Rattus norvegicus: one gene and its partners. The protein of the gene in region 3 binds, or shares a complex with, the protein of the main gene of each other region. Links are inferred from orthologs where the notes say so. Each region holds a gene or a part of one and is shown on either strand. Other genes may lie near its edges. The genes, in order: Tbp, Polr2f and Taf1c.

Region 1 (3,600 bases), on a different chromosome or scaffold from region 3:
CTTTGGATATACAATTTGTAACTTTGAAACCTGTGTGTTCTTTGTGAACTTAGACAATAAATGTTTAGATTAAGATCAAATTGTAGGGTGTGAGAGATGGCTCCAACCTGGTTCTCTGGAGGAGTAGGCAGTGCTTGTAACCTCTGAGCCATCTCTTTTAAGAACCAGCATCAGGGACCAGCCCTTTGTACCACCTTCACCCTCATGCCCCACCCCCAGCAAAGGCCTCGGCAAACTAAAGGCCGAGGGAAAACTAATTCGTAAGCAAACTGTACTGTAAGAAAAGAACACTTACTAGGCACTGTTTGTACAGCTCTATTAAGTCAATTCTGGTTTTATACCATTCCCAATACCTCAAGCTTAAAGTATCATATTGAACTGGACACAATATGCTTTAGGTAATCATTTTTTGTGTGTTCTAATTTTAATTAAAGGCAGACTAAACAACAGATGAAACATTAGCTCATTAGATCACATTAATTCAAACCACGCCTGGAACTGAGTTTCTTAAATCATCAGCTCTTTAGTGGTCATGGATGTGAAATATGAATATGGATTAGGAGACTATGAAATGTGCTCTCTTTTCCTTTGTAAAGGCAGTAGTGATAGAATCCAGAGCCTCCTAAATGGCAGGCAAACGCCCATCCTCAATTCCTTAAAGATACTTTATTTTTAAAAATCAGCTCAGTTCATATAGACCAATGGCTTGCTCAGAGATGCCATAAGAAGTGAACGAATCAACATTCCAGATACAAAGATAAAGAGGATACGGTCCTTATCAAACAGTTCGGTATAAAACAATACGGAGACAACTATAAATACTTAGCAAACACTAAAACTGCAGGCGTTTACGAAGTAAGGCAAGCTATTGGAAAGCTGAAACCAACATTAGTGTCTTCAAGACACCTGCACCTACCTATGACTGGTCTCGGCATTTGTGACCGTGAATGAATGTTATGGAAGAGTACAGATTAGAGTCAAGAGGTGGCAGAATGTTCTGCAGTCAAGAGCACTGCTGCTCTTCAGAAGGACTAGTTTTGATTCCTAGTACCCACATAGCTACTTACAACTAGCTATAAATCCAGTCCCAGGGAATCCAAAGCTCTCTTTTGTCTTCTATGGGCCCGGGCATGCACGTGATACACATAAAGACATATAAGCAAAACAGTCATATATGTAAATCTTTTAAAAGTTAAGACGGAATTGAAGTACCCTTTCCAGAGGTCTGAGCTCTCACAAAGCAGGGACAATCTAACACAGGTCTAGCAAGAGGAACAAAACCACACAAATCAGCACTATCGCAGTACAAGTCACAGACATGAAAGGGGGACAAAGCCTTGCATGTAGTATGTGACAGGCTTAGAATGTAAAGTCACTACAAAAGATGACAAAGCAGCTAGCTGTAGATAGGGTTGCATAATTCAGGGTATAAGATGTCACTACACAGACAATGGGAACAGTTAAAGGATGTTAAGGTGCAGTTTGAATATCTTCTTGGTCCAAGAGCGGATAAATCTGAGAAAACTGAAGACTGAAAATTCAATTTCAGAGATCACTGTTTTGGTTGGGGAAAAAAAAAAAGGCTGGATTTAATGTCCAAAGTATAACCAGAGATTTATCCAGATCACTTTCTGCAAACAAAGTTTACTGAACGCTCGCTTATATAAGACTGGGGAATGTGTAGTATCCTTCGCTGAGGTCATCTCACACCTGCAGACGATATTAAACTACCTTTTCTCATCTGCATCTTAAAACCGCAATAATCGCTGCACAAACTTATTTTTAGGTTGTTTTCAACTTTTGGAAACTGAGCCATCAAACTGAATATTTGGGAAACCAATTCTGCAGTCTTCAAGCGTCTGCTTCACCCAGTCCGGCATCTTTTCCCAGAAAAGCCTACCCGGAGTTTTGGAAAACCACGTTAACTCGAACCTAAAGACTGACAGCGTGTAAATAAAGAAGCGTGCGTTTTTATGTTAAGCTCGACTGAGCTTGAATCTCGAGCTTCTGACGAGATGCTCCGTCTCAAGAACCGCTTCCTAATAGAATTATTCTTACTGGGGACAAAACGAGCAGCCGCAGGCCTGGGTAAAACTGTCTTCCACCGGGGGAAGCAGCTGAGATGTACGGTGCGCCGAGCTGTCCGGTGCCAGCCCCTTGGAGAGGCTCACACTTGGCACTGGATTTCATGACCCCGCCGAGGCGGTGGTCCAGAGACTGGTACTCCCGGAGCCGCCGCAGCCCGCGCGGAGGACCGTTCCCCGCCCGGCCGCGCGCCCATTCCGCGTCTCCTCCGGCAAACTCCAGGGACCCGCTGCAGAAGTCGCTTTTGTTAAGGCCTCCAAGCAGAGAAAAGGATGAAAGAACCGTTACCTGGGCACTGCGGAGAAAATGACGCGACCGCAGAAACCTAGCCAAACCGCCAGCAGATACCCGCCACCGCTACCGGACTCGACCCCACCGAACGCCTGACGCACATCTGATGCCGTCACTTCCGCCAGTTGCGCTCTCGACTGGAGCCCGGCTTGTTGTGCTTAAACTGTGAGACACTCGTGAAAGAAAGGGGTTGGGTTGGTGTCCCAGCATTTTCGGGACCAGGCCTCTGACCGCCCTTTCTAGCTGTCAAAGAGAGATGTAGAGTGTGTAGCGGGAACAGTATTGGGGATGTGGCTATGGGGATCAGGCTCAAGCAAGCGTTCTACCACTGAACTGTATACATCCTCGATCTTCCACGTGTTGTTTTTGTTTTTTTGAGAGTTTCTCCTTGTCGCTCTGGCTGTCTTGGGACTCACTCTTGTAGAACAGGCTGGTCTTGAACTCAAGAGATCGCTTGGCAAGCTCACTGGGTCCTCCACTTTGCTCTGTAGAGTTGAATGATAGTAGTAGTTGCCTCTTAGAGATTTGTGAGATGGATAACGTGAATGGCAAGCAGACGCTTCTTATTATGTTCTCAGTAAATGTCAACTTGCGTCCAAAGAGGAACAGCAAAACAAGCGGCTTTGTAGTCACAGACTCATTTCTATTTTAACTCTGCTACTACCAGCTCTCGTCCTTGCTGTCACAAGAAAACGTCAGCTGTTTCTTAGACTGGTTCTTAATGCTTGATTTGATTCCAACATACCTTAATTTTTTCCTTCCATGGTTCACCTAGGCATATACATGTGTTGTTGTGCTTACTCCCCCCCCCCCCGGTGTGTGTGTGTGTGTGTGTGTGTGTGTGTGTGTGTGATAGAGAGAAAGAGAAAGAGAGAGAGAGAGAGAGAGAGAGAGAGAGAGAGAGAGAGAGAGAAGAGAATCTGTGTGTTGTGTATAGCTGTTGAATAGGTTGCCATATGCATAGACTCTAATAAGTACAATAGTATTGTGTATCTATTTTCTCCTAAAGGAAACATTTTCTCTTGGAAGTACAGGAAACCACAGAAGACTGGGGAATTAAGAAAACTTAACAAAGGCCTGACAAGAGACAATTTATGGGAAGCAGATTTATTTTGGCTTAGTGCTTGAGGGGCTACAATCCAGGGGAGAGCATGACACCTGGACTGCATCCACAAATCGGAAGCATAAATTAGATAAATATTAGTTCGCTTCTTTATTTAGTCC
Region 2 (3,696 bases), on a different chromosome or scaffold from region 3:
TCCTGCACACACCCCAACATAGACACACGAATACAAGTATTTTTTAAAATTGTAATAAATAAATAAAACTAGTAAAAGATGTCAGTAAACCTACAGGGACAGGTTCAAAACTGACTCGTGTCTGATAAGCCAGTGTGGAACACTCACAGGAGTGAGGCGTCCTGACAACTCAGTCTAAGCCAACTGGATGGTCATACTCTGTGGGAGTAAGATGGATCCTGCTTAGTCCGGGCTTTAGTGTTCCTTCCCCTAGGGAGCCCATGCCCTCTGTTCAAGCACAGCCAGGCTGGATTCTGTACACTGAGGCCTGGGCTGTACCTTTGCTTAGGGGCTGAATGAAATGCCATCTTGGATAGCTTTTGGCGAGTCCAGTCTGGCCTGCGTGCGCCACCTGCTGGCTGATGTCACTCACCTCATCTTCACTGGATGATGGTGACATGTTTATTTTAGTAGCTGCAGCACAAGACAGTCACTTCAAAGCCTGCGCTTGCATGTCTGTGGGGCACTGATGAGCGATGCCCTTCAGTTACTGCTGTGATGTGAGGAGAGAGTGGACACGGCCGGTCAGGTCAATGGTTACTTATGTAAAGCACTCTGTGTATGTATGGCAAACTAAACAGGACCTTACATGTTTTACTGCTGAGCTATACGTCAAGTTTTGGGGACATTTCATTATGTCAGAAAAGACATTTGGTTTCTGCTCTTTGGAAAATTTCAGGATTTTAGGATTAGCAGAGACCAGAATATTTAGTCACAAACTAATAAATGTCAGTCTCAAGGTGGTCCCCAGAGTCACCCAGGTACCTCTGAAGGTATAATTCTCAGACCCCCTCATGAGCTGAGGGATTCTGTCTGGATCAGCAGTTAAGAGCACTTGGTGCTCTTGTATCCAGTGTCCTCCAAAGGCACTGGAAACCTCCATGTAAGCAAAACACCCATACACATAAGAAAATCATTGGTCTTTTATGGCCTGGAGAAGGCACTGGCCCTTGATTTTGGATGCTTGTTCGTAAGTCTGAATCTATTGGCGTCAGGCTGTCCAGGGTTATTAGAAGCGTCTGTCTGCAGGAGACAGGCCTGGAGTTGATGTGCCCTTGTTTGCCATTGGAAGTTTTGCTTGGACCAAGCATTAGCTGGGGCCTGGGCCCTCATAGTGGATCATGTGTGGTTCTGGGCCACCAGACAGATGTTCATAGTCTGGTGTGGACAGTAGTATGGTGGCTTTGATGCCAAGAAACGCATGTTTAACTCACCGGGGGCACAGAAGACAGATTCCCAAGGCTCAATGGTTGAGAGCACAGACTGCTCTTCCAGAGGTCCTGAGTTCAATTCCCAGCAACCACGTGGCAGCTCACAACCATCTGTAATGGGATCCGATGGGACACTCTTCTGGTGTGTCTGAAGAGAGCAACAGAGTGCTCACATAAAAAAAAAAAAAATTAAGTATATCTTTAAATAAAAAAAAGGAGACAGAGGTGGGTGAGGACAGAGAGTAGAAATGAAAGGGATCTGTGCCTGTTGTCCATGTTGTGACAGAAGTCCAGAGGACAGGCTTCTGGCTTAGTACATTTGGCTCACAGTCCTGGAGCTTAGAAGGTTCAAGAACATGGCAACTCACCTGTGGGGCCTCAAGCTGCATCGTAATATGGCAGAGTGCTGTTATTTGGTAGAACTGAGCAACCTTGCTAGCTTGGATTTCTCTTCCTTTAATAAAGCCACTTAGGCTATCATGGTGGTCACACCTTTGTGGCTTTCTTTCTTTTTTTTTTTTTTTTTAATTTTTTTTTTTTATTTATTTATTATATATAAGTACACTGTAGCTGTCTTCAGACACACCAGAATAGGGCATCGGATCTCATTATAGATGGTTGTGAACCACCATATGGTTGCTGGGATTTGAACTCAGGACCTCTGGAAGAGCAGACAGTGCTCTTAACCACTGAGCCATCTCTCCAGCCCCTTTGTGGCTTTCTAAGAGCTCCTTCTCCAATACCGTCGTCATCTTAATTTGGGGGACACTTAACCATAACCTAGGGGAGGCATGGAAGTTTGTTCTGGCTTGAATGAGGGGCCAGGCTGGAAGAGTGTCACTCTTCTGGGGGTGTTGCTATGCAGGGCCTTCTCTGATGGGGTATGACATGCAGATGACTTCAGTATGTTACCTGGGACATATCCCAGCACAGTGGTGAGGAGCAGACCTTGGCTCTGCCTCTCTGCCTACGTGACCTGGGGCAGGACACCTTTTATATTGGATAGTTTATGTATTTACATTTCAAATGTTATCCCTTCTATGAAGATGTTCCCACTCCCACCGCAACACCCTGGCATTCCTGTACACTAGAGCTTCACCTTTCTGTACCTAGTTTCCATGATAGTAAAGTGGAAGTCAAAGTAGGCCTCTCCCACTGAGGCAGAGGTCATGGCAGGTAGCTGTCAGTGTCTGGCGTGCAGAGCCTGTCTGCTATCTGGTTTTTGTCATTGTTTCCCCAGTGAGGTAGGGATCTCTTCTTCAATTTTAGAAGAGGCTGTTGGGATGTGGAGAGAAATTCGGTGACTTGTGCTTACAGGCACAGTTTAAATCCAGTCTGCCAGCCTTCCCTCTGCTCAGTGGTGGCTCCCTGAACACTGCTGCCACCAGGCCTGCCTGTCCAGGTGACCTTGCTAGATGAGGATCAGGACAGCAGATCCACCTTCTCTGAGCCTTGTCTGCTGTCTCTCCAATCTTTCTCTGTCTCTGCAGGATGTGTGCCCCAGTAATGGTGGAGCTGGAGGGGGAGACAGACCCTTTGCTCATCGCCATGAAGGAACTCAAGTAAGTCTGCCCCTCCTTCAGAGTATCTCGGGCCTCTTTAGACCTGTGGCTCATGCATGGCCAGCCCCCGGGAGCCAAGGGAGGGCATTTCTGTGACACGTGCTACTACCACCTGTTCTCTGCTGGGAGCCAGGGCACCAGCTCTCACTTCATTCGACTTCTCCCCACACAGGGCCCGGAAGATCCCCATCATCATTCGCCGTTACCTGCCAGATGGAAGCTATGAGGATTGGGGCGTGGATGAGCTCATCATCAGCGACTGAGCAGAGCTGTCAGGCTGTGCCAGGCACCATCTCTATGCCCATTTTATACATGTAAATAATAAACTTCACTCTTCACACCCCCTCTGCCCCTGTTGCCTGCATGCTGACACCTGCTGCTTTCTTGTTCCTGCCCTACTACAGGATGGGCATACATTGAGGTGACCCTGTGACTGTTAGCTCTTTCTAAAGCACCAGGGCCCCCATCCCATCCCTCCATCTCTCCCCATGCACCAGAGCAAAAGCTGCTGCAGGGAGACACCTCAGCTGCCTTCTCAGCAGACAGATGAGTCTTTGTGCCCAGGGAGCTGGTTGCCACGGAAACCCCCAATTTCCTTTCCAGTGGGGACTGGCTGCAGGGGCTTCTCCCTTCTCAGGAGTATCACAGAGCAGGTTTCATCAAGCCAGCCATTGTTCCTAGGGACCTGCCTTGAGCTCTTATCGAGGACTCAGATCCCCTTTCAGGAGCGGTGCTTTAGCAGGAAGCGTGGGGGTGCAGTGATCCCCCACTGTCCCCAGGCAGAGCCCTGTTGGGCAAGGCAGCAACTGCAGCCCTATCACCACTCTGTCCCAGGCCAGTGCCACTCAGTGCCCCCATGGCCTACCTTTCTGATCTACTACCTT
Region 3 (3,823 bases):
GTGTCCACCGAGGTCCTGAAGCAGCCTCTTCACGCTGACTATGGTCACCTTTTTCGAGTAGCCCTGCAGGGAAGGCCTGTCAGGTTTGCACCCAGGGAGGTGGCTGACCATCCACCCAGCCAGTGGTGGCTCCTTACCCGGTTCCCCTCCAATCTGAAGTTCTCCAGCATGAGTTTCCCCAGGGGTGCAAAGGCTATATCCCCATGGTCCCACAGGAAGCGGCTGAGCTGTGGGGAATGGCTGTGTGAGTCAGCATAGCTCAGGCTGTGAGAAACAGTCCCACCCAGAGACCGTTTACCTGCTCAGTGACATCCAGCACAACTCGAGACTGGTACTGGTAGTAGTGACCTCCCCGGAAGAGGAAGTCCTGAGCTGCCAGACCAGGGTCCCAGGGATCTAAGGGGAGAAGGAAGTCAGAGAAGAACCTGAGAGGGAATAGGGAGGTATCTGCAATCTGGGATCCCCTTGTCCATGCGATGGCTAAGGTCCTTGGAGGGAGCCCAGAAGGAGAGAGACTCTTACCAGGGCCAGGAGGCACCAGGGGCAGGGGTCCTGGTGTCGATGGCTCCCACAGCAGGTTCTTGGCAAAGGACGATGTCTGGTCCTAGGGATACAGGGCAGCAATAACATGGCAAGTATGCGCTCCCTGCCCTTAACCAACTCAGTCGTCGTGACAAATCTAAAAAGCTAGTCACTGTGCTAATGTAGAACCCGAAGGGTGAGGCTGCTGTCACTTGCCCTAGGTGACAGTCAACTAAAAACAGGCATAGACTTGAACCCAGGCAACCAACTCCAGAGCCTGTATTCTAAACTCCATTCATAGCAGCTTTCAAAGGAAGCACCTATATCTTGACTGTCCCACCCAGAACGCAATGAGCTCCAATTTTCTCAGCCACTTCCTCTGAGTCCTGTCATTCAATGGGTTCCAAGTAGGTACCAACAAGTCTCCCTTGTCCCAAGGACCAAGAACTCCCCTCCCCCAATACCCTCTCTTTGACCTGCTCCCCTCTACGTACTCAATACAAGGCAGCTGAAGATGGCCTTCCCAAGAGCAGAAATCCTGTCCCCTTCCCCTGCCATTTCATGATCTAGTAGAGCCAAGGCCACACTACACAGGGTCTGCCCATCGGCGTACTGTCTCCCACCATAACTGGCAGTCCCTTGGGTGGGTTTGCCTGACCTCCTCATGGTGGGCTCTTGGGCCTGTAAGGACCCTAACACAGAGACACTGGCTAATAAACATTTGCTGAACCCAGGGAGAGGGAGCAAGGAAAGAGGAGCTACAGCCTCTATTGAGAGATTCTGTCTGGATAGTAGGGCGGCCGGTGCACAGCACTAGCATCTGCTGGGACCTCTTTCTCCGATAAGTGAATGAAGAAGAGACCAAGGAAAGGACCCCACTTCCATCCTCACCCTGCAGTTCTGTGGCTGGGCCCCTGGCAGGGTCAGTGCATCTCTCCAGCTGCACATGAAGGACAAGTCGGGGCCATCAGTCATGCCAAGAGGACCGGCCATAAACAACGAAGGACGCAGGGTGCTGGGGAAGTCCATCCTGGAGACAATGTATCTAACGTTACACAGGACTTCATTAAGAGTCTCAACAGTGCCCCAGGGCTCCCAGAGAGCACACAGTGCCCGCAGGGGAGACCACTACAAGACAGCAGGTAAAGACCAGAATCTGCAGCCTAACGCCAGAGCTGCTCACTCCCAATCACAAGGGAGTGCTCCCTTGGGGCAGCCAGGGAGATAGCTCTGTGCACACCTTGGAAGAGGGGCTGGGGAGAATGACCGGTGAGCGCAAGAGGTCCCGAGGCAGGTAAAATGCCAGAGATAGGCAACCGCTGAATATATGAACGGGAGAGTGAGAGGACCAAGTGGGATGTTAATGAGAGCTGAGCGGTCTTCAATCAGGCAGACTTTCTTCCACCCCTCTGTGGGCGTACCAGAGCTGCGTACTATTCCGGCTTTCCCGGCCAAATACAGGCTTCTCCCGAAATGCCCGTGGTCTGAGTTAAAGCAGGAACTCTCTTCAAGCGGTAACTGTCAAACAGTCCTCATTTTTAGTAAAAATTAAATCTTACATCCGACCGGCCGAGCTGCTGGACGAGATGTGATGGCTCTGAATTTAAGAGTCTAGGAACTGAAGACCCGTAATCTGCTCACAAGTTTTCCGGGACCGCCCTCCCTCATGGCAAACATCTAGGATAAGACTCAGCGCTGGAATCGGCCTGCTCGAGAGCCATGTGGCCTGCCACGTGCTCTCAGCATCCCCGCACGCGGGCCCTGCCGGTTCCCGGCAACAGTCTCACCTGATCCCGGGGACACAAATGAGCCGGACTGCCACTCCTCAACGCCGCCACCCACAACTACTGGAGCATTGCCACCCAGACTGAACTAGTTTCCGGGCCGGGCCGGAAATGCTCCAGTGAGACAGGAAGTCCCGCCCCAGCTCACCTCACTATGTCCTCCAGCGCCACCTTCAGAGCAGGCGGCGAATTGAACCGAGCTGTGAAATTCCCATCGTCCTGGTGTTGGACGATCCTGCCTCCACTTCATTAACTTCCTATCTTACAAGAGTGTTGGGAAGTTTAATTGATCCTCTCAACAAACAACTGAGCAGCACTGATGAGCCACTCACTGTATTTGTTGCCCACAAGTTCTAGAATCCTCTTCACAGACGCCTCTGGGTGCATGCATGGCTTAAACCGGGGAACGGGAATGAATATTAGGTTGTCCTCTTGGGGGATTTTTTCAAATTCACAGGCAGCAAGTCCTGGGCGCTGCCTGTAGGTTGCCTTGGCCCTGGCACTATGACATGAAACTTAGGATGTGTGGCTCTGCTGACCACTCGCTTCTACACACCTGGAGGCTAAGAATGTCTTCAGATAGAATCTTGAGACAAGGAACAGATCTGCTTCAATGTAACCTACCTACATGACATTCCCACCAATGTATTTGAAAGCTTCTTTGGGTTATGACTTCCCTTTGTTCTGTAATTATCAAGACTTCATAAATCGGTCTCCAAGGTGGAGCAGGTTACTCGGGGGGACCTGAATCTGTGTTCCTGAGTCTATGCATAAAGGATCTCTAAAGGAACAGAACTGATTGAGTATAGAATGGAGGTGATTCTATTAGACTGGCTTACAGGCTGTGATCGGGGTAATCTAATAATAGTTGTCTTATGACAGAAAAGGCAAGGAGAATTTGGTAATGTTCTGTCCATGAGGCTGTCTGTCTGAGCAGTTCTAGTCTGGTGCTGTAGTCTGTGAGGTCTGAATTGAACCTCTTCCAGGACCCCCTGAATGAGACCCACGGAGGCAGGTGACTGACGCAAAAGCAAGAGGGGTCTAATCATTCCGACATGTCAGGGTCATCCCACTTCAAGAGGAGACAACCCTAAGAGCAGACTCTAACGGAGTTATATACCTTGCAAACAACTGGGGCGGAATTTGGACAATGGTAACCAGGCAGGGTACTATGCTCATTTAGTGAAGCCAAACAACGTTCTTCTGATCGACTCTGTGTACCATTCAGTTGGGAGTCAGGTAACTTTGTGTGACGGTTTGGCTTGTAGCTGTTCCAGGACCTAAACCAGCTTTTTTCTTCTTCCTGGAAGGGAGGGGTCCTTGTGCTTGGAGGTTTGTGGTAGGAATTTTCCCACTGGCTCCAGATTGGTCCCTACTCGGGCTCTTTCACACCCCCCCTTTTCTTTTAGCATAGCTTCAATCTTGAAGCTTATAACCCTCTAGTTCATACTCTTGCTTCCCCGCTCCCAGCTGCACACAGTGTTGCTTTGAGGTCATAGTAACTTTGAGGGGGTTGG

The links.
Region 1: Taf1c (region 3) and Tbp share a complex: the UniProt entries of both Homo sapiens proteins name them as parts of the transcription factor SL1/TIF-IB complex. The link is inferred for Rattus norvegicus from reciprocal best matches to the Homo sapiens genes TAF1C and TBP.
Region 2: Taf1c (region 3) and Polr2f share a complex: the UniProt entries of both Homo sapiens proteins name them as parts of the pol I pre-initiation complex. The link is inferred for Rattus norvegicus from reciprocal best matches to the Homo sapiens genes TAF1C and POLR2F.

The regions. Positions count from the first base shown.
Region 1 is NC_086019.1:65,135,324-65,138,923, reverse strand, and holds the start of Tbp (TATA-box-binding protein), read right to left. Parts: upstream 2,217-3,600; 5' UTR 2,059-2,216; intron 1-2,058. UniProt on the Homo sapiens protein: The TFIID basal transcription factor complex plays a major role in the initiation of RNA polymerase II (Pol II)-dependent transcription.
Region 2 is NC_086025.1:112,599,394-112,603,089, forward strand, and holds the end of Polr2f (DNA-directed RNA polymerases I, II, and III subunit RPABC2), read left to right. Parts: intron 1-2,740; coding exon 2,741-2,812; intron 2,813-2,984; coding exon 2,985-3,075; 3' UTR 3,076-3,116; downstream 3,117-3,696. UniProt on the Homo sapiens protein: DNA-dependent RNA polymerase catalyzes the transcription of DNA into RNA using the four ribonucleoside triphosphates as substrates.
Region 3 is NC_086037.1:64,565,228-64,569,050, forward strand, and holds the start of Taf1c (TATA box-binding protein-associated factor, RNA polymerase I, subunit C), read right to left. Parts: upstream 2,373-3,823; 5' UTR 2,310-2,372; intron 1,553-2,309; 5' UTR 1,552-1,552; coding exon 1,414-1,551; exon of another isoform or gene 605-1,413; coding exon 523-604; intron 397-522; coding exon 299-396; exon of another isoform or gene 228-298; coding exon 138-227; intron 132-137; exon of another isoform or gene 64-131; coding exon 1-63. UniProt on the Homo sapiens protein: Component of the transcription factor SL1/TIF-IB complex, which is involved in the assembly of the PIC (pre-initiation complex) during RNA polymerase I-dependent transcription.